7 linked regions of the Callithrix jacchus genome follow. The protein of the gene in region 4 interacts with the protein of the main gene of each other region in a pairwise test. Links are inferred from orthologs where the notes say so. Each region holds a gene or a part of one and is shown on either strand. Other genes may lie near its edges.

What was found.
Region 1: the proteins of TFIP11 (region 4) and THAP8 interact in binary tests that used the Homo sapiens proteins (3 or more experiments, as listed by UniProt). The two-hybrid records come from large-scale screens. The link is inferred for Callithrix jacchus from reciprocal best matches to the Homo sapiens genes TFIP11 and THAP8.
Region 2: the proteins of TFIP11 (region 4) and LATS1 interact in a two-hybrid assay, tested with the Homo sapiens proteins (2 studies listed by BioGRID and IntAct). The two-hybrid records come from large-scale screens. The link is inferred for Callithrix jacchus from reciprocal best matches to the Homo sapiens genes TFIP11 and LATS1.
Region 3: the proteins of TFIP11 (region 4) and ZC2HC1C interact in binary tests that used the Homo sapiens proteins (3 or more experiments, as listed by UniProt). The link is inferred for Callithrix jacchus from reciprocal best matches to the Homo sapiens genes TFIP11 and ZC2HC1C.
Region 5: the proteins of TFIP11 (region 4) and NFU1 interact in binary tests that used the Homo sapiens proteins (3 or more experiments, as listed by UniProt). The two-hybrid records come from large-scale screens. The link is inferred for Callithrix jacchus from reciprocal best matches to the Homo sapiens genes TFIP11 and NFU1.
Region 6: the proteins of TFIP11 (region 4) and CCHCR1 interact in binary tests that used the Homo sapiens proteins (3 or more experiments, as listed by UniProt). The link is inferred for Callithrix jacchus from reciprocal best matches to the Homo sapiens genes TFIP11 and CCHCR1.
Region 7: the proteins of TFIP11 (region 4) and RHNO1 interact in binary tests that used the Homo sapiens proteins (3 or more experiments, as listed by UniProt). The two-hybrid records come from large-scale screens. The link is inferred for Callithrix jacchus from reciprocal best matches to the Homo sapiens genes TFIP11 and RHNO1.

What each region holds. Positions count from the first base shown.
Region 1 is NC_133523.1:32,202,383-32,206,486, reverse strand, and holds the start of THAP8 (THAP domain-containing protein 8), read left to right. Parts: upstream 1-1,304; 5' UTR 1,305-1,486; coding exon 1,487-1,569; intron 1,570-4,104. Other genes in the region: WDR62 (WD repeat-containing protein 62), read right to left, coding at 577-753.
Region 2 is NC_133505.1:156,481,968-156,485,467, forward strand, and holds part of LATS1 (serine/threonine-protein kinase LATS1), read right to left. Parts: intron 3,344-3,500; 5' UTR 3,204-3,343; coding exon 2,859-3,203; intron 2,670-2,858; exon of another isoform or gene 2,572-2,669; intron 1-2,571. UniProt on the Homo sapiens protein: Negative regulator of YAP1 in the Hippo signaling pathway that plays a pivotal role in organ size control and tumor suppression by restricting proliferation and promoting apoptosis.
Region 3 is NC_133509.1:109,990,105-109,992,821, reverse strand, and holds the end of ZC2HC1C (zinc finger C2HC domain-containing protein 1C), read right to left. Parts: intron 1,488-2,717; coding exon 1,224-1,487; 3' UTR 501-1,223; downstream 1-500.
Region 4 is NC_133502.1:197,239,508-197,243,643, reverse strand, and holds the start of TFIP11 (tuftelin-interacting protein 11), read left to right. Parts: upstream 1-1,336; 5' UTR 1,337-1,417; intron 1,418-1,506; exon of another isoform or gene 1,507-1,533; 5' UTR 1,534-1,688; intron 1,689-3,615; 5' UTR 3,616-3,624; coding exon 3,625-3,833; intron 3,834-4,136. UniProt on the Homo sapiens protein: Involved in pre-mRNA splicing, specifically in spliceosome disassembly during late-stage splicing events. Intron turnover seems to proceed through reactions in two lariat-intron associated complexes termed Intron Large (IL) and Intron Small (IS).
Region 5 is NC_133515.1:44,443,632-44,447,654, forward strand, and holds the start of NFU1 (NFU1 iron-sulfur cluster scaffold homolog, mitochondrial), read left to right. Parts: upstream 1-1,223; 5' UTR 1,224-1,236; coding exon of another isoform or gene 1,237-1,298; exon of another isoform or gene 1,299-1,443; intron 1,444-1,706; 5' UTR 1,707-1,730; coding exon 1,731-1,906; intron 1,907-4,023. UniProt on the Homo sapiens protein: Iron-sulfur cluster scaffold protein which can assemble [4Fe-4S] clusters and deliver them to target proteins.
Region 6 is NC_133505.1:35,978,647-35,982,906, reverse strand, and holds the start of CCHCR1 (coiled-coil alpha-helical rod protein 1), read left to right. Parts: upstream 1-1,460; 5' UTR 1,461-1,711; coding exon of another isoform or gene 1,712-1,723; 5' UTR 1,724-2,029; coding exon 2,030-2,269; intron 2,270-2,490; exon of another isoform or gene 2,491-2,556; coding exon 2,557-2,623; intron 2,624-2,701; coding exon 2,702-2,915; intron 2,916-4,193; coding exon of another isoform or gene 4,194-4,260. Other genes in the region: TCF19 (transcription factor 19), read right to left, coding at 1-202. UniProt on the Homo sapiens protein: May be a regulator of keratinocyte proliferation or differentiation.
Region 7 is NC_133510.1:16,205,240-16,208,739, forward strand, and holds part of RHNO1 (RAD9, HUS1, RAD1-interacting nuclear orphan protein 1), read left to right. Parts: intron 1-1,948; 5' UTR 1,949-2,032; coding exon 2,033-2,200; intron 2,201-3,500. UniProt on the Homo sapiens protein: Involved in microhomology-mediated end-joining (MMEJ) DNA repair by promoting recruitment of polymerase theta (POLQ) to DNA damage sites during mitosis.

The sequences.
Region 1 (4,104 bases), on a different chromosome or scaffold from region 4:
CTCCCTAGGCAGCACTGCAGAGATTTTACAAGTAACTTCTCACGTCTTTTTCATAGTTTTGAGTGGCAATATGGAATCCAACCTTGGAGAGGAAAAGGGATAGAGTCCGCAGAAGGTGAGAAAAGGCGGCATAGACGAGAGGAAGAGTTGGGGCGGGTAATACTCTAGACTGAACCCAGGAAGTGACCTTAATGACCCAGCGGGGGCCAGGGCAGTGAGGCTGGAGAGCGCTATGATCGTGACGTCTAAAGGCGATCAAACGGGCGTTAAAGTATAGCTGTGATTTGCAAAAGCAAAATGCATTCCTAGGGGTGGGAACCAGGGAGGAACCCAGGAATTGCCCCAACACAAGAGGGTGGAGCCGGCAATACAGCGAGGAGAGGGAAAGTGGGAGGGACCGTGGCTGAAGTGACCGGGCTTAGGGGACGAGGCGGGGCTTAGGAGAAGAGGCGCGGCAGGGAGCAACCTGAGCGAACTGGCGGCGGGGCTGATAGTCGGGGCCACAGTTCTCAGGGCGAAACTAGGAGAGACCCAGGAAACCTGAAACTGGGGGAGGCATGGCGAGCAGCTACTCACCCGGTTCTGCACCGTCTCCTCGGGGGCCGTCGAGAATCGCGTCCGCCGCCGGAGGCAGAGCGGTGGGGCGGGGGGCGGGGAGGACTGGCCCCTCCGCGCCGGAACTCCTGCCATGACAGAGGGCAGCTTCTCCCCCGCATCGTTCCGCGCATAGCTTCCGGACCCTACGGCCGCCATCGTCGCGCCGGAGCCGGGCGACCGTTACCTCCACTAACCGTCGCCGCCTCCACGACTCACTGGAACAGCAAACAACCGCGGGAAAGCCGGCGCCGCCGCCTATTGGACGCGACGGGCCCGGTCTGGCCAATCTCAGGGCTGTCGGGCGGTGCTTAGGCCCAATGGGGACGAAGAAGCGGAGCGAGTGCCTGGCGGGGCGGGGCCACAGCTAGTGTACAGGATGGGCCTGATCAAGCGTCGGGGGGGTCTTTTATCCAGACTGCGTTTTCATTATTCGCTGGAACATATAGGTTTTAACTTTTACGAGGCTAAGGCCACAGCCGCCTCACCTCGATTTTTGCCGCCACCCAGAGGAAGTATGTGCGCTCTGACGGTCTCCCGGATGTAAGCAAAGGGCGGGGCAAGTTGATTTGGTTGGCGCAAGCTCAGAAACGCCGTGAGGCCGCCTCTCCACCAACACGTGATGAAGGTCGGGTTGGCGAAGGGCCGGTTTTGCGCAGACGCACAGTACTCGCTTTGGCTCATTCGCCAAGTGATGAGGGCGTGGCTGTGGAACTGTGGAGGGGGCACCTAGTAGACCAGGCGCTCCCAGCTCTCCCGGGTACGTGACGAGACTCCAGGGACGTCACGTGAGGCAGGAGGCAAGCGCGCGGGCGAGGCAGGGTTCGGCGGCGCTCGGCGAAAACCAAAGTGCAGCCGCTGACCTGGCAAAACTCAGCGGGGCTGGGCAGCCATGCCCAAGTACTGCAGAGCGCCGAACTGCTCCAACACTGCGGGACGCCTGGGCGCGGATAACCGCCCTGTGAGCTTCTACAAGTGAGCGCAACACGGGGCGGGGCTTGGGGGAGGCGGGGCCTTGGGAGGGGCGGGGCCCGAGCTTTAGCGCTGTTGTGCGGGGCTTTAGGTCTAGCTCGAGGCGGGTTCAACCGTGAGGAGACTGCATACCCACAGTGGACACTGCACATGCAAAGAAGCAGGCGTGGGAAACAACAGGAGTACACAATTAACTACAGGTAGCGAACTGAGCGAACCGAAGAGATGTCCAGTCGCCCTCACCACGCATTTGAGCCATCTGAAACTAATAACATCCGAAACTGAGCTTGCGATCTTGTCTCCCCCAAAACCTTCCAGTTTGTCCCATCTTTGTACGTACTTCATTCTTGTTGCTTAGGCTAAAAAATATAGTCATCCTTACCTCTTCTCTTTCGTCATACTTGGGAAAGTCAGAATTAGCTTGGACTGTAAAAGATCTGTCCTCTTGTTTCTCAGCTGACATAAGCCAACTGGTGGAAGAATTACTAGGAAAAAAATTTCTTTCCTTTTTATTCTTTTTCTTTTCTTTTTTTTTTTTTGAGACGGAGTTTCGCTCTTGTTACCCAGGCTGGAATGCAATGGCTCGATCTCGGCTCACCGCCACCTCTGCCTCCTGGGTTCAGACAATTCTCCTGCCTCAGCCTCCTTAGTAGCTGGGATTACAGGCACGCGCCACCATGTCCAGCTAATTTTTTGTATTTTTAGTAGAGACGGGGTTTCACCATGTTGACCAGGATGGTCTCGATCTCTTGACCTCGTGATCCACCTGCCTCGGCTTCCCAAAGTGCGGGGATTACAGGCTTGAGCCACCGCGCCCGGCCTCCTTTTTTTTCCTTTTCTTTTTTTGAGACAGGATCGCTCTGTCGCCCCGTCTGGAATGCAGTGGCATGAACACAGCTCACTGCAACCTCGGTCTCCGGGCTCAAGTGATCCTCCCACCTCATCCTACCAAGCAGCTGGGACCAAGGCACGCGCCACCAGGCCTGGATAATTTTGGAAAAAAAAAATTTTTTTGGCCGGACGCGGTAGCTCAGGCCTGTTATCCCAGCACTTTGGGAGGCCGAAGTGGGTGGATCACCCGAGGTCAGGAGTTTGAGACCAGTCTGGCAACATGTGAAACCCGGTCTCTACTAAAAATATCAAAATTAGCTGGGCCTGGTGGCTTACACCTGTAATTCCAGATACTCAAGAGGTAGGAGAATCACTTGAACCCAGGAGGCAGAGGTTGTAGTGAACCGAGATCTTGCCACTGCACTCCAGTGTGAATGACAAAAGCAAGACTCTGTCTCAAAAAAAAAAAAAATTTTTTTTTTAAAAGAGAGAGATAAGATTGCCCTATGTTGCCCAGTCTAGTCTCAAAATCCTAGGCTCAAGTGATCCTCCTGCTTCAGCCTCCCAAAGTGCTTGGATTACAGGCGTGAGCCACTGCACCCAGCCAAGAAAAAATATTTTTCTTGGACATACTGCAGATGTAAAGTGGCAGAACTCCCATCCTTTGAGTGACTACTGCTTTCTTAGTAGAAAACGGTTGTCTAAAGTCAGAGATGATCACACACTTTGCTCTTTGAAACTACATCAAGTAAGAATGAAACAGCTCATTTTTGCCTGGAGGAGCTAAGTCACTTTGACACAGAAAAGCAGTTCCTATTTGCAATCCAGGTTTGGAGCTTCAGATAAGGAAACATTCTACATCGATGTAAACTTTATTGCTTCTGAGAAGACAGAACACTGGGCCCACATCACCATCCAGACCTGATATTGATCCCTTTACGCACAGTTCTGATTTGCTTTGAGCCAATCTGAACACTGCTTCATTTACATTTCACCTTAAAAATCACTGTTTATTGTGGTACATGGTGGGTCACGCCTGTAATCCCAGCACTTTGGGAGGCCGAGGCAGGTGGATCACGAGGTCAAGAGATCGAGACCATCCTGGTCAACATCGTGAAAAATACAAAATACTCTACTAAAAATACAAAAAATTAGCTGGGCATGGTGGTGCGTGCCTGTAATCCCAGCTACTCAGGAGGCTGAGGGAGGAGAATTGCCTGAACCCAGGAGGCGGAGGTTGCGGTGAGCCGAGATCACGCCATTGCATTCCAGCCTGGGTAACAAGCGAAACTCCGTCTCAAAAAAAAAAAAAAAAAAAAAAACTGTTGAGACTCCCTCTTCAAACAAAGGCCCATTAGGGCCTATGGCAGCGGTCCCCAACCCTATGGCACCAGCGGCTGGTTTTGTGGAAGGCACTTTTTCTACGGATGGGGTGGGGTTGGGGGAATGGTTTTGGGATGAAACTCTTCAGATCATCAGGCATTAGATTCTCATAAGAAGCAGGCAACCTACATCACTCACATGCCCAGTTCCAAATAGGGTTCACACTGCTGTGAGAATCTAATGCTGCTACTGCTCTGACAGGAGGCAGAACTCAGGTGGTAATGTGAGTAAGCCCCTGCTGAATGCAAAGAACCCTGACATATCTTGTCTTTGCCGTCACAGAGCTCATGGATAGGTGAGGGGTCAAACACTGAGGAACTGAAT
Region 2 (3,500 bases), on a different chromosome or scaffold from region 4:
GGCACAGCTAATAAAAGGAGTAGGTTAAGGTTTCCGAAATGATAAAAAAGAATGAATTGAAAACTAGATAACAATTCTGAAATACCAAGTTAAGATCTTGAACAAGATAAACTCTATAATATCATGGGATGCTACCAGAATGAGTAATTCAAGAAAGTACAAGCAGACTGCCAGATTCTTTATATCACCGTTGGTATAAATAACACCATACTTCATTATTTGGACAAATGAGGAATGATGTCTAAATACTTTCTTAAAGCAATCTCGTGACAATTTGAAATGTGTAATTATAATAAAGCTAACACATTATTTGTGTAGAACTTTAATAAAAAAAAAAAAGCACAAACATATCTTTGTAATACAAACCAATTATTGTTATTATGACCAATAAGGACTAGAGCATTGACCAATGCCTTAGATTTCTTAAAACTGTCTTTATTAGAAAGAACTTTAAGGCCAGGTGTGGTGGCTCACACCTGTAATCCCAGCACTTTGGGAGGTCAAGGCAGGTGGATCACAAGGTCAAGAGACCGAGGCCATCCTGGGCAACATGGTGAAACTCATCTCTACTAAAAATACAAAAATTAGCTGGGCATGGGGGTGCACACCTGCAGTCCCAGCTACTTGGAAGGCTGAGGCAGGAGAATCGCTTGAAGCTGGGAGGTAGAGATTACAGTAAGCCAAGGTCATGCCACTGCACTGCAGCCTGGACAACAAACAGAGCAAGACTCTGTCTCGCGAAGGGAAGGGAAGGGAAAGGAAGGGGAGGGGAGGGGAGGGGAGAAGAAAACTTTTAATTACCTTAAAGGTATGAGCCACATCTGGTACAATTTGCTATTCTGACCGATGGGTGAGGTGCACACATAGTAAGAGCTCCCTAAGTACGTATTACTGGGTGACTTACCTGACCTAACACATTACCACTAGGGGCTTTTATAGCTATGTGATTTCATAACTTCTCTTTGCTTAGCAAATGAAAAGGGAAAAAATAAGATCAATAATTATTCTTTGCCTTTTGGCTAGGGGATTAGGAAGAAAGTGCTTGGGACAATCTCCACTCAAGCCATTTCTTTAATCTTCTAAATACTAACCAGAAAAACATTATCCCATGTCTTTCCCTCCTCTTCCTCTATTTCCTGGTTTAAATCCAGTATTTTTAGAACACTGAAGTATAAAAATGATAGAAAATAATAGTAATCAAATAGATAAATAGAATGTGCCAGAAAGAATTTTCTTTCCCTTATAGTTTAGTTGTAAATCTCCCTTTTAAAATCTTTTGCTATAATGCATACTTAGGTTCTTACTTTTTTTCTTTTTTTTTTGAGACTGAGTCTTGCTCTGTTGCCAGGCTGGAGTATAGTGGCGCAATCTCGGCTCACTGCAACCTCCACCTCCTGGGTTCAAGTGATTCTTCCGCCTCAGCCTCCCAAGTAGTTGGGATCACAGGCATGTGCTACCACGCCCAGCTAATTTTTGTATTTTTAGTAGAGATGGGGTTTCACCATGTTGGCCAGGATGTTCTTGACCTCTTGACCTCATGATCTGCCCACCCTGGCCTCTCAAAGTGCTGGGATTACAGGCGTGAGCCACCAAGCCCGGTCAGGTTTTCACTTTTTAAATTAAATACAGAAATATATGGAAATTCGGTCATACACACACACACACACACACACACACACACACACACACACACAAAACCCATGAAAAAAACAGTGAAGGAATTTTAAGGGTAGTTATCTTTATACAGTGAGGCTAAATGTAATTTTCAGTTTCTTCTTTATACTTTTCAATTGCTAAGAGAGAATAGGTAATATTTTTTGCAATCAGGAAAACATGTTACTATAATTGTGAAAAATGTAATTAACTCTTTTTTTGAGATGGAGTGTCCCTCTTGTTGCCCAGGCTGAAGTGCAATGGCGTGATCTCAGCTCACTGCAACCTCTGCTTCTTGGAGGCAGAGTGCTTCTCCTGCCTCAGCCTCCCAAGTAGGTAGGATTACAAGCATGCACCACCATGCCGGGCAAATTTTGTATTTTTAGTAGAGATGGGGTTTCACCATGTTGGTCAGAGTGATCTCAAACTTCTGACCTCAGGTGATCCGCCCTCCTCAGCCTCCCAAAGGGCTGGGATTATAGGTGTGAGCTACTGCGCCCGGCCTAACTTTTGATTATTCACATTTAGTTACATTTTACATTGCCAATATTTATCTAAAATGGCTCCTGACACCTAAAATATTCATGCTCACAAGGTATGTTATCGTAAGAAACAAATTTCACTGATAATCTAAACAAAATCATTAAATATACGGATTATGAAAAAATTTCAAAATGAATTCTGAAGATAAATATTAAAGACTTGGCATAGTTAGCCTGAAGTGAAATTTTGTTAGTTTTTGTAAATTTAAGATTTGGGCCTGAGAACACAACTGCTTACTACACAAACCCATAACTATATAATTCTTTCTCCCTACTATGAAGTTAAATTTCATGTTCTCAGAACTATCATTTCCCCAACAGACACTTAGTTCACCATTGTATTTCACACAAACAGATGTCTTTCCCCTACCCTCACCTGTGGCTTTCTTCAACTGCACTTCCATTCTGACTTCATGACCTGGCCTTTTAAATTCCAGAAACTCCAGAATTTAGTGATACATATCACAGAAGAAACTAAGGAAATAACAATTATTTTGTTATAATAATTAATGGAATTGTAAACATAACATTCTTTGCTGATAGAATATGCAAATTTGTATACACGGATAAATTCTCTTAAGGGAAACATTTTGGCATCTTTTCACCCCAAAAATGTTATGTAGCATAAGGTAAGAAGAATCCATTGTCTTTAAAAGTTCTTACCTCATCAAATCCAGCAGCTTGTAAGTCTTGAAGCATTTGTGGATTAACTTCTGAAGTACTACGAGAATTTGTTTCATTTGCAAATGGAAGCAGAGAATTTCGAATTTCCTGCAAGACTTTATGATGTGTCCCAAATTTGGGTGGATTTCTGACTTGTCGAGGATCTTCAGTTGACATTTTACTCATGTTATGCTCAGCCTTAGTAGCATCTGATGGTTTAGATAAATTCCTAAGGGATTCCCGAATTTCTTTTAACATTTGTCGGCTACTGCCAGTATAGTTACTGGCAGGAAAGGTCTTAGGCCTCATTTGTCTATATCCTTCTGGCTTTTCACTCCTCTTCATGAAAACATCTATATATGTAGCCCACACGAAAGACTTCTTTATTTGATAGATCCAGAGCTTTCTTCTGAGCAAAAATGAAAATGATCCTTCAAGGAAGTCCCCAGGACTATTAAAATTCTTTATAATATAAATAATTAACTCTATAAAAAAAAGAAAGAAAGAAAAGCTATAAAGTGATTAATAAAGCATTTTAGAGGAAAAGTCCATTGACACAGGGGTTAAGAGACTCAGGTTATAGTTCTGACTCCATTAAGGATTACTCCGGGATCAGAACAAGTTACTTATCTCTCCATGCCT
Region 3 (2,717 bases), on a different chromosome or scaffold from region 4:
GATTTCTATCTGTTGTGCTAACTTCACTCCTATCTGAATCGATAATACTCTCACAGACATTAACTTATCAGTTCTCTCATTTCACTAGTCTTCTTTTTGTTTAATTTTAAATCTCCAGATCTCATTAATTGAGGGTCTAACTTGTGCTAGGCAATAGCTACACAGAGAAAATTAAAAAGATTTGATCCCTTTCCCTTCAAAGTTTATGCTCTGAAATAGAAGTTGACTGTGCTACAATTTGCAAGGGCATGTGACACTGTGCAATGTCCCAGCTTTGTTTTGTTTTGAGATGGGGTCTTGCTTTGTTGTCAAGGCTGCTCTTAAACTCCTGGCCTCAAGCAGTCCTCCCACTTCAGCCTCCAAAAGTGCTAGGATTATAGGAATGAGCCACCATGCCCAGCCTGTCTCAGCTCACTTTTATGGTAGATTTTGCTGCCTCTAAACAGTCATTTAGCCCAACCAATTTGAAAGTAGAGTGCTAGTAACAACTAAAATGGAGGTTTCTTTCTTTTTTAACATATGAAACGCATTAGAAAAGAACAAGTAGAGAGAAGTATAATATCTGCCCCCCGCAACACCCATCCCCACCCTGTGAAGTACATAAAGATCTTTCCTTTATTACACAGTACACCACAGGGAAGGTTAGGAGACACTGGTGCCTTAACCTCACATACTTGTATTGGTTTTTGGCCAGGATCATGCACCAGAGAGACCAAGGATAGATTTTCATTAATAATGTCTTACAGGAAAATTGTATTGTCTTTTATAAATGAGTTACCATCTCGGTCATCATGCCCCTCTGACACCAACACATCCTAATATCTCCAACTTCTATAAAAGCAAGAGTTAACAGGAACTATGGACATACATGCAGTGACAAGAAGGCACAACCAGATGCAGGCACTTCACTAGCACAAACCACAAGTCAGGCATGCAAGAAGAGAACTTTAATGGAGCCTGTTCCCAACTCTTCAGTGTCTTCACCCATCAATTCTGAGTGCGATAACATAAAGCATACCAGCTGAGGTTGTAATTTAGTGGGAAGCTGGGGCTTCCTTCTGCCTCCTGCTGCTTAGCAGTGGCTCTCTCCTCAGATTTTAGCTTTGCAGGCAGATCTGGGAGCTGTTTCGTTTCTTTCTGCTTTGTATCAAATTCTACTCCCATTTACTCCTAAAGAAAAGCAGAGCTTTCTGAACTATCCAAAAGTTTCCACTGTCATCTGCTCAACTGTAATGCTTCCTTGGAGGTGGAGGGCGGTTCTTGATGGTCTTACACTTGGGAATGTGTTGCTCAGCCACCTTGGGAGCAAAGTGGCGGCTATAGTGAGGACACTGAATGTAGTCTGGGTTTTCTGAAGGCAGGATGGGAGGCAAGTCTGAAGGGTTTCCACCTTTGGCAATTACCTGCTGGACCTCTCGAGCCTGGCGGAGGGTACGGATAAAATATTCGTGCTTCTGTCTCCAGTTGCTCTTCCGAGGAGGTTCAGCCTGTAATGTAAAAGGGATACTGATCTTTCAACTTGGCACTTGTCTCCTTACTGAGTCTCCATTAGAATAACAGTAAGAAAATGAAAAGGGTACTAATCTGCAAGATCAAAGAGAACAGGAAAGGAGCAATAGTGGTAACTGACTTGCCAGAGTTGAGGCAAACGAAGGGCCTGCAAAGAGCGTACTGCTGAGAGGCAAGCTGCTTTCCCAGCAGAACTCCAGAGAAGTTCAGTGCTTGGAAGTACCAGATGGTGCAAAGTAAGGAGGTACAGGACTGAAAACAGGCAGGACCCCACAGCTCCTCCCACCTTGCACATCCAAGTGTCCAACACCCAAGCACACTTAGAGAAGAACAAGGATTTATTCTCTGGAGAAATTGAACCAGACAAATTTCCGACTCAGGAAATCCAGACAAGTGAAACTTGGGGGTTAATCTGGGGACTGAAAATGGGGATTAAGTAGAAGTGTACATACCAAATTATGGAAATGTCAGCCCCCTTCTCCTGCTCAGCCCCCAGAGTATCAAGCATATTGGCATCCTCTTAGGAAAAAGAGGGGTTCTTTGGATACATGGAGCAGTCTAGAGAAAAGCCCTCAGATACCTTGGAGAACCCTAATTAAAAGGCTATTTAGTAACCTTAATATGAAGGTCCTTAGTCAACAAGCCCCACTTAAGATTAAATATGAAAGGACAGCCAGGAATCATCAAATATTTGCTAAAGCTCTAACAAGAAAAAGGGCCCAAAAAGTCAACAAACAAAAAACGCAGGAAGCAGCAACAAGGCAGATAGAGGAAGAAAACTTTTTTTTAACATGAAATCGTATCAACAAAATGAGTATTAGAAGAGGTTGTGTCCGTAAAACAAGAAGCGTATACTGTGAAAAAAGGACAACCAGAGAACCAGAAAGAACTATTAAACTATAAATTTAAACTTTGATAGCTAAAAATAAAAATCAAATAGAAATGTTGTCAAAAATTTCTCAGAATGGGAAAAAAGATGAGGATGGAAAGTGAAAAGATAAGATTGGAAAATTAGAAAGTTAATCCTGGAAGTCCAACATGTGACCAGTAAGAGTTCCAAAAGGAACAGAGAAAGCATGAGGAGAAAATTATTAAAGACATAATACAATTAACATTCCTAGAATTAACGGTCACACATCTTGAGATTGAAATGGCTTACCAAGTATCCAGCACAATTATTGTAAAGTTTCAGAATTTCAAAATAAATA
Region 4 (4,136 bases):
ATAGCAACAGAAAAGCCAAGCTTATGTACATTTTTGGCTTTTGGGCTACAAACAGATGTATATACATTCAGGCACAGACTAAAAACACTTTTTTCCCCTTGTTTCCCTCACTTCGCTCCTGGTGGGCCTTGTAGTCTGTTAGACCCTCTCTCCCAGGCTTCAATGCTAAAACTACATTTTCTATTTCTTTCCAGAGTACATACTATGTGTCAGGCACAATTACTCTACATGTCACTAGGAATACTAGATCATTAAGACACAGTCACCATTGCTAAGAAACCCACATTTAACTGGGTACACAAAAATTGTTTAATTCTTAACAACCATTTGATGGTAGATGTAAGTATTTGACTCCAAGTCCCATGCTCTTTTTACATTCCAACAATTGTCTCTTGGATCTTTTCATCACATAGAGCAGAGAGAAAAATAAGCAAAAATTAATAGCTGACTCTTTCTCAGCACCTACTGTGTGCCAGGCACAGTTTTTGTGGCCTACAGTTTTATCTTATTGAATCCTTAGCCATTTTGCAGAAGAGAAAACTCACTTACGTGTTTTCTTAGACTTGCCCAAGGTCCACAGCTGCTAAATTGCAGAGTCAAGTTTGGAACTCCAGAGCCTGTGTATAGTTAAATGTCTACACAGAGCCCAGGGATAGTGAGGGCTTCCCAGGGAGGGCCCAGGAGTATTCTGCTCACTATATCTCCTTGGCCTAGCACAGGTGAGGGGCACTCAGTATATTTTAATTAAATCAGTGAATAAATGAATGAATTTACAAACCTGCTGGAAATGAGAATGGAAACGTCTCCTGGAGAGAATACTTGGGAACTCTAGAGTTTGCCCATTATTCCTTCATTCCCTCTTAAACTCCTGCATAAAGGACACTGCCCTGTGCCCAAGACGGTGCTTATGAGACAGAGCCAAAGATACAAGAGACACAGTTTTGATCTTCATTATACCCAATTGAATGCTGTGTCCCAGGCACCCTATCATCTCACAGTATGTACCACAACTACCCTATGGGCTAATCCTACATCTCTATTTTACAGATTTACAATCTCAGAGTGGCAAAGTCTCCTTAGGCCAAGATGGCTCAGCGGATTCCACACCAGTCATCACAGGCTGAGCGTCGCAGTGCGAAGCAGGCGCAGCAGGGAGGCCCACTTCACGGGGAAACCACGCCCCAGCCATCATTTTGGTCCTTGCAAATCCACCCCTCCTTTCTAAGATCCCAGCCCGCCATTCTACAGGCAAATCTGCCGCAGCGTTCCATCCTGCCCTTGCAGCCAGCGCGACATCCGCTGTCGACAACGTCATTTCCGGCGCGCCGACTCCGGCGCATCCGGGGTCTGGCGTAGGAGAGACTGCCTTCTTCCGTGGACTGTGAAGTTGAGTTTGGTACGCTGGAGCCTCGGAGAGGTGAGTAGGGCTTGCCACGAGGGGACTCAGGGGCAGTGGGAGTAGGGCTCCGGCTCAGGGAAGGCGAGCCTCGGCCCAAGCCGATGTAGGGGTGGGGAGGGGATTCCATTTCGCAGACAGCTCTGTCGAGGCACGGAGAAGGGCGGTGCTGGTTGGGGTCAGTCAAGAACCTGAGCCTCCTTCGCCAAACCTAGACAGCAAGAGAGAGACAAGCCCGAGGCCTGGCTTCTAGCGCTCCTGAGTTTGAGCCCTATAAGCAGTGGAACCTAGGGTAAGTTACTAACTTCTCTGAACCTCCCTTTTCTTACCTGAAGCATGAAAATTAATGGTAACTGCCTTGTAAAAGTGTCTTGATGCACACAGTTGATAATAGGGCTCAAGCGACCATCATGTACCTAGCTTCTACTGATGAGGACTTCATAATTTGTGGCTACTCAGGGCTTATCACCACTCCCTGTGTCCACGGAGACATTGGTATTATTTAACCTTATATATCTGAGATTCCCCACCTCTTCTGAGACCCTTTCCTTTGTATACATTCCTGGAAGAGGTTGGGACCAGCTGCACCCAACCAGGGCACCAGTGACTAGAAGGCAAGGATAACGTTTTGCCAGAGTTGACCAGAGTTTGACACTGGCCTGTGGAAGTAGGGAATTCCTTATGCCTTAAGGCCGCTTTCAGGAAGACCAGAATCACAATTGCTGTCACCTATTGAATGTATTATTGTGTAGTGCACCAGGCTTGGCACTTCGTGTGCATTTAATACTCATACACTGAGTATCTGGTAGAGTTGAATTTGAAGTTAGGCTTTGATTTTAGCATGCCTGATTTTGCAATCACTTTAAGTTTACTCCCTAGTCCAATAATAGTAATGATTGTGATGTTTGATACTGTCAAGTTGATTGGATTGAAGGATATGAAGTATTGATCCTGGGGTGTGTCTGTGGGGGTGTAGCCAAAGGAGATTAACATTTGAGTCAGTAGTTTGGGAAAAGCAGACCCACGCTTAATCGTGCGGGCATAATCTAATCAGCTGCTAGCACAGCTAGAATATAAGCAGGCAGAAAAATGTAAAGAGGCCTAGCCTCCCAGCCTTCATCTTTCTCCGGTGCTGGATGGTTCCTGCCCTGGAACATCAGACTTCCAGTTCTTCAGTTTTGGAACTCCGGCTGGCTCTCCTTGCTCCTCAGCCAACAGACAGCCTTTTGTAGGACCTTGATGGTGTGAGTTTATCCTTAATACACTCCCATATATATATATTATATATATATGGGAGTTTATGGAGTTTATATATGGAATATATATATGGGAATTAAGAGGGACAGAACTAATGGAATATATATAACTATATATATGGAACAGAATATATAATATTCCATATACATATTCCTATATATATATACATATATATTCCATTAGTTCACTCCCTCTAGAGAACCCTGACTAATACAATGATTAACCTAATCATGGGACTACAGTAGAAGCTATGGTTTCTTGAGCACTTATTTTGAACTCATTGAATTCACCTTATAAGCATTCTCTAAGGTGGGTATAGTAGTTTATCCCAATTTAAGAAAGACAACTGAATCTCATCCCCCAGCTACCATGAGGTAGATTCTTTATTTCAATCCCTGGATATCTGACTATTAAAATAGTGTTCATAATTACTACAGTTTTTTAGCTCATCAGAAGAAATACATGTCTTGCAATGAAAACTAAAAATTATGTTTCATCAAGTAGTGTATTTTAAAAAGCATATTCTAAAAAAGTCACTCTCCTGGACCACCAAGGATCCAGATATAATTCTTACCTCAGTAATAGAAAAAGTAAAGGAATCTGGGATCTAAGAAGATATCCACTCATTTTCTAAAGCAATACTGTATAAAATAACCTACTTAGATATTTTTGTGTGGTTTATGTATGTGTGAATGTGTGTGATATTTGTGATATTGACTAGGACAAGGAAATACATACTTTTAAAGAAACATAGACTGTTGGGACTGGTATTTTTTTCCCGTTTTAGTACTGATTGTTTTCTAAAAATATGTTTTTAATATCTACTTTATTGAACAGTAATGCCAATTTTAATGGACTTTAAATTTGGAGAAAGTTCTGAAGGCAGCAAGGAATAGAGGAATCCTCCTGCTGCTGCCCCCAGGACTTATTATGGACTGTGCCCTTTTTATCTCTTCCTTTAGTGACTGGCCATGTCACTGTCCCACTTGTACCGGGATGGGGAAGACCGCATTGATGATGATGATGATGAACGGGAGAACTTTGAGATCACTGATTGGGATCTCCAGAATGAGTTCAACCCCAACCGACAGCGCCACTGGCAGACCAAGGAAGAAGCCACCTATGGGGTGTGGGCAGAGCGAGACTCAGATGAGGAGAGGCCCAGCTTTGGAGGCAAACGGTATTGCCTGGCATGGGGGCTGCTTCACCTTGCTTTAGGGAAGAGGAGAAAGATGGACAGGGAGTGGAGGGGATCCCCTGATAAGTATACTTCTCACCTGGCCTTATTGAGACTGTTAGTTGTGACATCACCTCAAGAGGTCCAGTTTCCTCTTTAGGCTAGAGTGCTGTTCTTTTACCAAATTATTTTATTTTATTTGTTTTTTTTTGAGATGCAGTTTTACTCTGTCACTCGAGCTGGAGTGCAGTGACGTGATCTTGGCTCGCTGCAACCTCTGCCTCCGGAGTTCAAGTGATTCTTGCA
Region 5 (4,023 bases), on a different chromosome or scaffold from region 4:
CGAGGTGAGTGGATCACCTGAGATCAGGAGTTTGAAACCACCCTGACCAACAAAGTGAAACCCCATTTCTAAAAATAAAATAAAAACATTACTAGGCAGGGCAAGGTAACCTAAGAGCTTTTGGAGGCCTAGGTGAGAGGGATCACTTGAGGCCAGCAGTTCAAGAGCAGCCCAGGCAACATAGGGAGACCTCTTCTCTATAAAAATACGACTACTACTAATAATAATAAAAATAGCCAGGCACGGTGGCTCACACTTGTAATCCCAGCGCTTTGGGAAGCTGAAGCTGGAGGATGAATCACTTGAGCCCAGGAGTTGGTTTTGGTGAGCTATGATTGCACTCCTGCTCTCCAGCGTGGGCGACAAATAGATCCCGTCTCTAGAAAAAACAAACGAACAAAAAAAACCAAGTAACAAAAACATTTCTAGTCCCCACCTATAGAGATTCTGCTAAGACTAAAGTGGGGCCCAGGACTTCTAACATGTTCTAACGTGCATTTCTACCGTGTTCTCCTGGCGTTTTTGGCCTCTAGTCCGCACTTTGAGAACCGTTGTTCTAGAGAAAACTGAATTTCCCAGAAAGGTTCTGGAAGAATAGGTAATGGGCTTTGGAACTCTGCTCTGGAAACTAGTCAACGCCCATGTTAATCCAGAAAAGGGCAGCACTGTACCAGCACGTCCTCTGTGCTGGTTGGTCCAAGACGACCGAGTAGCGGGCGACAAGCACAGCCTATGAAGAAGGGTTAGAAACACATCTACATCAGACCCATGGGGAAGAGAAACGCGAGAACCTTTGAGAGGGGATGCTGCGGGGAGTCTTTAGGGGCAGTCACTGAGCTGGGCCTGGAGACTGAGTAGGGTCCTACATGGGGGAATGGGTCAGGTTTAGGGACGAGGAACAGCATTCGAAACCGCAGGACCAGCACCAGTTGAAAAACCTAGCTAGCAGTGAAAGCAAAGTACGGAAACAGCCTGCGTTCAGGGTGCTATGTGAATTAACCAGGGCGCCTGCGCAAACGGCAAAGAGTTTTCCCCCCGCCCCCGCGCCTCTCTCGGTCAGACTGTCGCAGCAGCCCGCAAACCTCCAAGCGCAGGCCGCCGCACTTATCCGCAGCAGCGCCACCCGCAGCCGGTGGGGTGCGCTCTTCCAAGTGGCCGCCCAGCTCCCTGCCAGCCTGCGCCTGCGCAGATCTTTAATGGTTCTGTCGGGGACACCCCTGGGCACTCCGGATTAAGATGGCGGCGGCTGCCAGGCGGGGCTGGGGAGCTGCGGCTGTTGCCGCGGGGCTGCGCAGGCGGTAGGTGACGAGCCTGGAGCTCCGAAAAGGGGTGCGGCTGGGCTTAGCCAGCGGAGCGGTCGCCACCTTGCAGACCCTTTCTTGAGGCGGGTGGGTAGTGCATCTGATGGAGCCGGCGGGTCCGCAGTTCGGGGTGAGCCCTGAGGTGTGTGGCTGTAGGTGCAGAAGCTCGGAGCTTTTGTGGCCTAATCCGGGCTGACTCTGTGGAGCTTTGTGTCGGGCTCAGAGACCCGGTGCTTGAGTCTCTGTAGAGACTGGCTATGGAGCCAGAACGGAGGAGCTGTTTTTAAATCATGTGCCTCTCTGCCCCCAGGCCCTTTGCCAGGTGCATGTCCTCTTTTAAACACAGAATCAAACTGTCACGCAGAAGGGAAGAAAATACCTTGTCTCGTTTCTTCATTTTCCCAGTAAGGCCCTGAAAGAGGAAGTGACATGTCCACGATCACACAGTTTCTAAGTGATGGAACTCCGAAGAGAATTAAGACCCCTAGATGCCCTGCACGCACCACCATTAAGCCCACTCCGTTCCCTTGCTTTTCTTCCCTGAGCCGTACCTTTGAGTTTCACCTTCCAAAGACTTCTCGGAACATTGCTAAGAGGACATTTATGTAGGTGTACCTTGATTTTACTTCTGGAGAAAAAGCCTACAGAGAATTTGCCCTCGAGTAACAGACATTTTAGTGTTAATGATGTATTGAGGTTTAAATGTATATCCTAAAAAGATTTAAGTTGGTAGAAGGATTTTTTGTTAGTTACCTACTGTGTTTGAGTAGACGTCGTCCTTGAATAATGTAATCCACTCTTAACTTAAAAACAAGACTTTAAACCCATATGTCGGAATGTGCTGCTGCTTTGTTCATTCTGCTGCCTTTTCCCTGGGCTGAAGGGACGAGAATATTATTCTTCCAGTGTATTTCCAAATTCCAGTGCATCTGCAGATTCAGGTAGTGAGCTATAGAAAAAGGTATTTTTACCCCAAACCTTGGACTTCACTCGTTTAATTAGAAATTTTGGGGCACCAATTACATAAAATGGTAGCAGCTGCCATTTATTGAGCACTTACTGCATGGCCTGGCACTGGTTTAAGCACTTTACATGGATTTTTGGATTCTTTATGAGGTAGCTGTGAAATTAATTTTGTTGTGAGATGAAGAACTGAGGCCATTGTGCTAGCAGCTAGAAATGAAGACAGTTTCTCCATTTGAGTATGCAGTCTAGCAAGAAAGATATATTAACAAGTCGTAAGTGCTGTAATAGATTCATATAATTTAAAGTGGTGACAGCTCTTACCGGGATCAATACTGTTTGGAGCTAGTGTGGGGAACGGCAGTCAGGACTTCACAGATTATTTGAGTCCCATTCAGTGTTGACTCCGTTGTTCTCTTGAATCCTCAGTGCCAATCCTTTTATCTCTCCAATAGCATCTAAGAAACTGTGGGTTACAGTCCTACAGTATCCTAGTAAAGTAGCTTTGCTTATCAATGGCATATCAGGATTACTGAAGGTAGGAAACAGTTAATCTGTATTCTGTTAATCCTTAATTTGTGCCCACTCATTCTTTTCCACAAGCAGAATTCCAGTTTTGTGAGAGAAAAAAGTGACAGCCATCGTCTGTTGCTTCTTGTCTATTTTAAGCAGAAAATAATTAGATAAATCTTTTTTTTTTTAAGTGATCTTGTGTATGATCACAATTTTTGCCTTTGCAAAAAATTTTAACAGAAAATTGTGACAGTGAAAGACTGTTCTAACCAACCACCATTTTGTCTTTAACCTCTAGACTGCCCATTCCTGGGCTTGGCCAAGCCAACTTTGGGAGACATTTATAGTTCAAATGATAATAGCCCTTCCCCCAAATTAAACCACCTTTATAAAGCTAATGAAAGACCACCAGGTTTGGAGGTTGAGAGGAGCCTGAATTCTACTAAGGTATAGATGTAAATGATTGCCTGCCATTATTCTGGAGGTCATAAGAGTTGCAACTTCCCCAATTACTCCTTCAGACAACACTCTTGTGGAACCTAAGATTAGCCTTTTCAGGTTTTTGCATTTCTCACTGGTCTACCCACAAACAGACTAAGCACTCAGGAGGACCATTTTCCACACCCCAATGATTGCATCCTCAACCAATCAACAGCACCCATTCCCTGGCCTGTCAATCTATCCTTGAAAATCCCTCACCTCAGATTCAGAGAGACTATTTGAGTACTAAAACTCCAGTCTCCCTTTCTGCTGGTCCCGTGTGAATTGAACTCTTCATTGCAATTCCCTTGTCTTAATGAATTAGTAGTATCTGGACAGTGGACAAAATGAACCTATTGGCAATTATAAATGACTCCTGTGCTTAAAATTTTTCCATGGCTCCTATGAAGTGGCAATTGTAATGGATAGCAATGATATTTTCAAGTAAACTGGATTTTAAAGTAAATTGCATTAGGATTCTAAGAATTTTCACTATTAAAGTCTCCTTTTACTTCTTTTTCTAGTACTATTTGCTTTTCTTCCTTTGTTTTCAGTTTGTCAAAGCCATCAAAAATAGCCAATTAAGTTTTCTCTGTAAGAGTGAAGTAAAGTTACTATACTGGGTTAATATGTTTCCATCCAAAAAACATATAAAAGGCAGGGCATGGTGGATCACACCTAGAATCCCAGTGCTTTGGGAGGCCAAAGTGGGAGGATTGCTTGAGCCCAGGAGCTGGAGATCAGTCTGAACAACATAGTGAAAACC
Region 6 (4,260 bases), on a different chromosome or scaffold from region 4:
CATCACCCCGGGGCTCGGCATGCAGTTCGGCATGGATGCCAGAGATGAGGCCAGGCTCCTGCTGGGGCCGCAGAGCCACATCACACAGGTCGGCCCTGTGGCCCAAGCGGTAGGTGCAGCCAGCCCCGGCTGGGGGGTGAAAGGTGTAGAGATCCCCGCCCCTGCCGCCCCCTATGCGCAGCAGTTGGAAGCAGGGCAGCATGGGCGGTGCCCACTCTGCACCACCCTTTCCACTTCAGGCATCCATTTCCTTTCCCACTCCTGGGCCACGCACCACTGGCTTAAGTTTGCTTCCCAGTCTGATGCAAACTTGAGTTGTGCTGTGTCCAGTTTCAACTTTGAGCACACTACCTAAGTAGTCCAAATTCAGACTGCAAGCAGTCTAGGACTCAATGCAAAATTTGTTGTGAAGCTGACTTGCTACTGAGAGATTCCAGAAAAGTCTCCATACAATGCAAACTCAGGAACGCATCCTATGGCACCTCACTTGAGCTGGATCCTCAGGTCACAAAATATTTGGAGAACCTCCAATCTGCAAGGCAAGGATATTTTAGGCAGCTCGTTTGTGTGTCGGGGTGGCAGGGCGGGGAGGTCTTGTTACACAAACAGTCTACGTGCAATACGAACACATCACCTCTCTGTAATTTGGAGAAGAGCAGCTTCTTCCTATCAAACTTGCTTATCCTAACAGAGCATTCCTGCTGGCCTGCGCCCCGATCTTCTGGCCAATCCCTCACTCATAACTAGTTTGAACCCCCGAGGGCAATGAATCCACTGTCATCCTCCAAAAGGAATTCCAAACAAGTCCTTAAGTTCTCCAACAAATTGGACCTAAACCCCTGCTTCCCGGCTTCTCTAGGTGGGATTTAAAAAGGAAGGCGCTCCCGCGATCATGCATGGCATACCCGGCCTTTTCCCTCGGCCTCAGCCGCGTTTCGGATCTCCTCTTGCAGTCTCCGAGTGGCCTCCTCTTCAAGCAGTGCCAGCCTGTGCGGCTGCCCCAGGACCCCTTGGGCTCCTCCGCGGGAGCCAACACTTCCGCAGCTGTTTGACAGCCAAGAAGCCGGGGCCTGGAGGGGCGCGGCCTTGGGGCGCAGGCAGCCTACCCCTCCTTCGGAATTCCCGGGCCCGAACTTCGCGCCGAGTGAGCCCGCCCCTGTGCCGTTTCTGATTGGCCAGATTATTTGTTCTCTTCTGCGCCATTGGACGGTGACCCAAGCTCCCCTGACTTCCGCTTTTTCTGATTAGTTCACAAGTTTTCCCGGGTTCCCGCAGTGGGGAGGAGCCGCCTGGGCGCGGAGACTCTCAGACGCATTGAGCCCAGCTTTCGACGCCATTGCGCCTGCGTGGACCTTTCCTGTCCTCTGAGTGAAATGGGGGCTTCAGAGCGCCCGTCTTGCGCAGGCGCGGTCGGGGCCGAGGCGGGGCCGGGAGCGAGGCGGAGGGGGTGTGGCCAAAGCGCAGTAGGGTGCTCTCGCGGTGGGTAAGGGACGTTCGGGAAGAGTCGGTTAGGGGCGGGAAGGGTCTGAGAGAGGGTGCTGGGAGGGTGTAAGGGGTCCAAAGGGGAAGGGGGCACAGGGGTCCGGTGAAGGGACAGATGAGGAGATCAGAACAGCCTTAGAGCTCAGGGGCCAACAGGGTGAAGCCTCGGGTATCTGAGGGAACGGTGCGGGGAGAGCAGAGCCGGCTAGCGTGCCGGGGATATTGAGAGATGGGGGTGAGGGTGAGGACCAGAATAATTCCTTCAGAAAAAAGTAGATTAGGATGTAAAAAGGGACAGGAGTAGGAATTCCAGATTCGGGTAACAAATAGATGAATGAGGGTGGGAGGAAGATCTTAAAGTACCCGCTGTGTTAGGACTCTAGAAGGAGGGTTTGGGCGGCGGGCATGGAAGCTGAGGGAATAGTAGAGAGAAGCTAAGAGGACAGCTCCAGGAAAGATTTGGATGAGATGTCAGGAAACTGGCTTTTCTGCTTGGGGATCTAGGCTGCCTGGATTCCCAAGGTCCTGGGGAGGGGTCTAACCCTGCATGTGGCCACATTCAACTGGGGCCAGGCCTTGGGCCAGCGCTTTAATAGGGAAGGACCCAAGAGTCATGGCCTGGTGGTGTCTGGATGGGCTTCCCCCAGGCCTTGCTGAGCCATGGAGAGAATTGTGGAGATGGCGCTCAAGACCCCTGCACTGTGTACCTCCTTTCTCACCTTTGGCTAGGAGCAGCAGGGACCATAGAAACTTAAGGAGGATAAAGGCATTGCCCAGAATCCTGAAAGTATGAGTAAAGCCTCAGAGCCCCTCTCATTCTCTCTTTCAGTAAATTCTCTCCACTGTGTAGTTAGTTGCCTGAGTTCTATCAGGAACCAGGTTGAGACAAGCAAGTGAATTTGGGGTATCTCCTACTTCTTTGGGGAAGTAGGAAAAGAGCTGAGCATTGGGTGTAATTCAAGGATTACACCTGGCTGTAATTCTAGGATTATAACTTTGTTATTGTAGGGGATTTCTCTTTGGAAGGTGGCCTGAAAATTGAATTGGAGTGTCCATGTTTCTCCTATTGTCCAGGGGAATATAGATCGCTGGAGACAGAATCTAGAGCCTTCAAATAATGTGAAGATGTTTCCACCTTCAGGTCAGTGGGACCAGGCAAGGGGAGTGGTGGTTGCCTCTGCCTGGGAAACTAACCATCTTTGCTTTTGTAATTCCTCAGGTTCCACTGGGCTAATTCCCCCCTCCCACTTTCAAGCTCGGCCCCTTTCAACTCTACCAAAAATGGCTCCCACCTGGCTCGCAGACATTCCCCTGGTCCAACCCCCAGGCCATCAAGATGCCTCAGAGAGGCAGACAGACACCCAAAGACCTCAAGTGACGATGTGGGAATGGGATGTTTCCAGTGACAGACAGGAGCCAGGGCGGAGAAGCAGGTAAGGATCCATCCTTGCCATTTTCTCAGGCTTGCTTGCTGGTGAGCCTTCCTCACTGGAATATCTTATCCTGTTTTGGCCCGTGTTTCCATAACTTATTCATTTTTATGTAAGCAATTATTAGTTCCTACAGTGCATAAACAATAAAGCAATGTGCTAGGTGCTAGGGATGGGGATGACAATAGTGAATAAGACAAACTTGACTTAAATTTGTAATTAATAAGGAACCTAAAACCCTAAGAGGGGAGATAAATTGACCACCAGCTGATTGTAAAGCATAGCATGAGGCAAGATGAAGAAGCGCAAACTGGAAGTAGAGATCCAGCACTGTGGCAGTGTGGGTTGATTCTGATGGAAGAAAGCCTTTGCAGAGGACATGCTATGGGAGCTGGCCATGCTGTCCGTCATACTGTCTGTAAACATTCTTATTCTTGCTTCATGTGCCTTTTCCCAGATGTACTAGGATATCATTCTGCCATTTTGCTGCAGAGTAGGATTACAATAGAAGTGGCAGCATGATTAAGAAAGGAATACACCGGGCGCGGTGGCTCACGCCTGTAATCCCAGCACTTTGGGAGGCCAAGGTGGGTGGATCACAAGGTCAACAGATCGAGACCATCCTGGTCAACATGGTGAAACCCCGTCTCTACTAAAAATACAAAAAATTAGCTGGGCATGGTGGCGAGTGCCTGTAATCCCAGCTACTCAGGAGGCTGAGGCAGGAGAATTGCCTGAACCCAGGAGGCGGAGGTTGCAGTGAGCTGAGATCACGCCATTGCACTCCAGCCTGGGTAACAAGAGCAAAACTCTGTCTCAGAAAAAAAAAAAAAAAAAGAAGGAATACTAGACTGGGTGTCAGGAGACAGAGACTGTTTCTAGTTTGGCTACCAGCTAGAGGACATCTGGCAAGTCAATTTACCTAGACTACAGATCCCTGCTACTTTTTAAAAAAAAAGAAGAAAGAAAGAAAAAGCCAGGTATGGCAGCTCACACCTATAATCCTAACACTAGCACTTTGGGAACTGGGGCAGGAGGATCCCTTGAGCCCAGGAGTTCAAGACCAGCCTGGGCAACAAAGCGAGACTCCATCTCCACAGAAAATAATTAGCTGGCTGTGGTTACATGCATTTGTAGTCCCAGCTACTTGGGAGGCTAAGGTGGTAGGACTGCTTGAGCTCAGGAGTTAAAAGAGGCAGTGACTTACGATCTAGCCATTGCACTGAAGCCTGGGTGACAGTGATGCCCTTTCTCTAAAAACAACAATCTGCTGTGGTCCAGGGTCTCAGAGAAAGAGCTGCGTCAGGAGCCATGTTCCAAACTGGATTAAACTTTCCGTGACATTGGT
Region 7 (3,500 bases), on a different chromosome or scaffold from region 4:
CAGGAATTCAAGACTAGCCTGGGCAACACGACAAAACCCTATCTCTACAAAAAATACAAAATTAGCCAGTGTTGTGGCACAGTCCCAGCTACTTGGGAGGCTGAAGTGGAACGATCACCTGAGCCTGGGAGCTCAAAGCTATAGTGAGCTGTGATTGTGCCACCGTATTCCAGCCTATGTGACAGATGAGACCCAGTCTCAAAAAAAAAAAAAAAAAAAAAAAAAAATTTATTCCCTGACTGGCTGGGTATTTGATAATGTTAAGGAGTTTATGTTTTTATTTAGTCGTATTCATGGGAATGATAGAACTTTTTTTTTTTTTTTTTTTTTTGAGATGGAGTTTCGCTCTTCTTGCCCATGCTGGAGTGCAATGGCGCAATCTTGGCTCACCGCAAGCTTTGCCTCCTGGGTTTGAGTGATTCTCTTGCCTCAGCCTCCTGAGTAGGCATGCTCCACCATGCCTGGCTAATTTTGTATTTTTAATAGAGATGGGGTTTCTCCACGTTGGTCAGTCTGGTCTCGAACTCCCAACCTGTGGTGATCTGCCTTCCTCGCCTTCCAAAGTGCTAGGATTACAGGCATGAGACACTGTGCCCGGCCAATAGAACATATTTTCTTCGACATAATGCGGGGGTAGAAGCAGTGGCTAGGGGTATAGATGAGTCAGGATTAGCCTGGTTGATAGTTTTTGGAGCTGGATGTTTGGTACACAGGGCCCATTATTATATTATTCAGTCTACTTCAGTGTGTATTTGATGTTATGTAGAGTGAAAAATTTTTTAAAAAGCCGGGTGGGATCAAATTGTTCTGCTTGAAAATCTGCCATGACTACTCAGGATAAAGTCCAAACTCATATGGTGTCATCTGTTTTTGTTTGTTTGTTTGTTTGTTTTTGGAGATAGAGTCTTGCTTTGTTGCCCAGGCTAGAGTGCAGTGGGGCGAACTTGGCTCACTGCAACTTCCACCTCGCAGGTTCAAGCGATTCACCTGCCTCAGCCTCCTGAGTAGCTGGGATTAGAGGCGAGCACCACCACACTTGGCTAATCCTTTTTGTTTTGTTTCGTTTTTTTCAGACAGAGTCTCACTCTGTTGCCCAGGTTGGAGTGCAGTTGTGTGATCTCAGCTTATTGCAACCTCTGCCTCCTGGGTTCAGGTGATCCTCAGCTTCCTGAGTAGCTGGGACCTTAGGCATGCACCACCACGGCCAGCTAATTTTTGTATTTTTGATAGAGATGAGGTTTCATCATGTTGGCCAGGCTGGTTTCAAACTCCTGACCTCAGGTAATCTGCCTGCCTCTGCCTCCCATAGTGCTGGGGTTACAGCTGTGAGCCACCACACTTGGCCATGTCATCTGTTTTTTTCACCTCACCCTGACACCATGTTTATCCTCAGTTCTTGCCATTTATCTTTTCATACTCTATCCAGATACATTGAGTTTGTAATTCCCAGAATTCACAATACTCCTTCTTGTCTCTGTGCCTTTGTGTACGCTCTTCCTCCGGTTGGAGTGTCCTTGCTTTTTTGTTTCTTCTAGGCCTTCCATACCTAGGTTAGGTATCTCCCTTTCCAGAAAGCTTCCTTTGGAATGAATGGAACCATATTGTATTCTCCCATTGTGTTGTGAATGTCCATTTCCCTTTGTTAGACTTTCAGCTCCTTGAAACAGGGATGAGCTCTGTATCACTACAAGTGTTTGGCACTCAGTAAATGATTGTTTAATAAATGGTTATTCATCTTTTAATTCCCAGCACCTAGCATGACATTTAGTGCATACTCAATAAATGTTTGTTAGATGAATGTTGAATATGAATACTGTGTTTTGATTGGTGGCATAGACTTTAGGAGGCAGTGCTCCCCACAACCTTGAGATTTACAGTAGAATTGGCGGGCAGAGGATCAGGAAAATCTAGGGAATATTTGTTCCCAGCGTTTGTTTCTTCTCTACAGGCATGGGTTGGAATTGGAGCCTATCTCCCATCCCGAAGGCTATCAGCATCATGTGGTTACTAACTGTTCCTCATTCACCGGTTGATGCCTCCCAGAAAAAAACGCCGCCAGCCTTCCCAGAAAGCCCAGCTGCTGTTCCACCAACAACCACTGGAGGGCCCCAAACACCGCTATGCATCTACACAGCTTCCCATCACTCACACTCGACAGGTGCCCAGCAAGCCCATTGACCACAGCACCATCACTTCCTGGGTAGGGCCATGGGATTATTACTTCGACTTTTACTGTTAGGTTTTCCAGAATGCTGACTCGCACAGCACCATCACTTCCTGGGTAGGGCCATGGGATTATTACTTCCACTTTTACTGTTAGGTTTTCCAGAATGCTGACTCTTCTGCCCCTAGAACCAGGGCCTCCAAAGAATAAGATTCTTGGGGGCAGGGGCAGGGAGTTAATGTATTCTTTCTGTCTGTGGCCAACCATGTTCTCTGGTACATTGTCTTTTCTCCGTTCAAACTGAGGAATGGATTAGTTGGAACTGGAGTCTTTCTCTCTCCCTATTTTCATCTGAAAGAGTTCAGTGTAAAAGTTTTTTTACAGGCCGGGCGCGGTCGCTCACGGCTATAATCCCAGCACTTCGGGAGGCCGAGGTGGGTGGATCACGAGGTCAAGAGATCGAGACCATCCTGGTCAACAAGGTGAAACCCTGTCTCTACTAGAAATACAAAAATTAGCTGGGCATGGTGGTGCGCGCCTATAGTCCCAGCTACTCGGGAGGCTGAGGAAGGAGAATTGCTTGAACCCAGGAGACGGAGGTTGCGGTGAGCTGAGATTGTGCCATTGCACTCCAGTCTGGGTAACAAGAGCGAAACTCTGTCTCAAAAAAAAAAAAAAAAAAAGGTTTTTTTACTTATTATTAGCTGGATGAGAAAGCCAGATAAATGGCAGAACAAGTAAGAAATGAGATTATTTCCTAAACTTCATGTGACAGGTGGAGTATTTAGGTAGATAATCTGTTTATTGTTTAATGGATTGAACCTTGAACAATAAAAACCCCATAAGAATAGCATATATTATATTTTGACCACTTAAAAGCCCTGGGAAGAGAGGCTGGTTGTGGTGGCTCATGCCTGTAATCCCAGCACTTTAGGAGGCCAAGGCAGGAGGACTGCTTGAGCCTAGGAGTTTGAGACCAGCTTGGGCAATATGTAGAGTGAAACCCCATCTCTACTAAAAATAATATAAAAATTAGCTGGGCGTGGTGGTGCACACCTGTAGTCCTAGCTACTTGAGGGCAGATCACTTGAGCCCAGGAGGCCAAGGCTGTAGTGAGCTGAGATTGTGTCACTGCACTCCAGCCTGGGTGACAGAGTGAGACCCTGGGAAGAGAATATAGCTAGTATACAACAAGGAAGTAGTATAGCAAAAGGGCCAGACAAAAGCATAAGCTTGGCTTAGGAATATTTAATAAATATAACTTATTCAGGACTGCTTGGAAGAACCATAGTACCTGCTACAGGATTGTGAAAGAAACCTAAACATCAGAATTTTG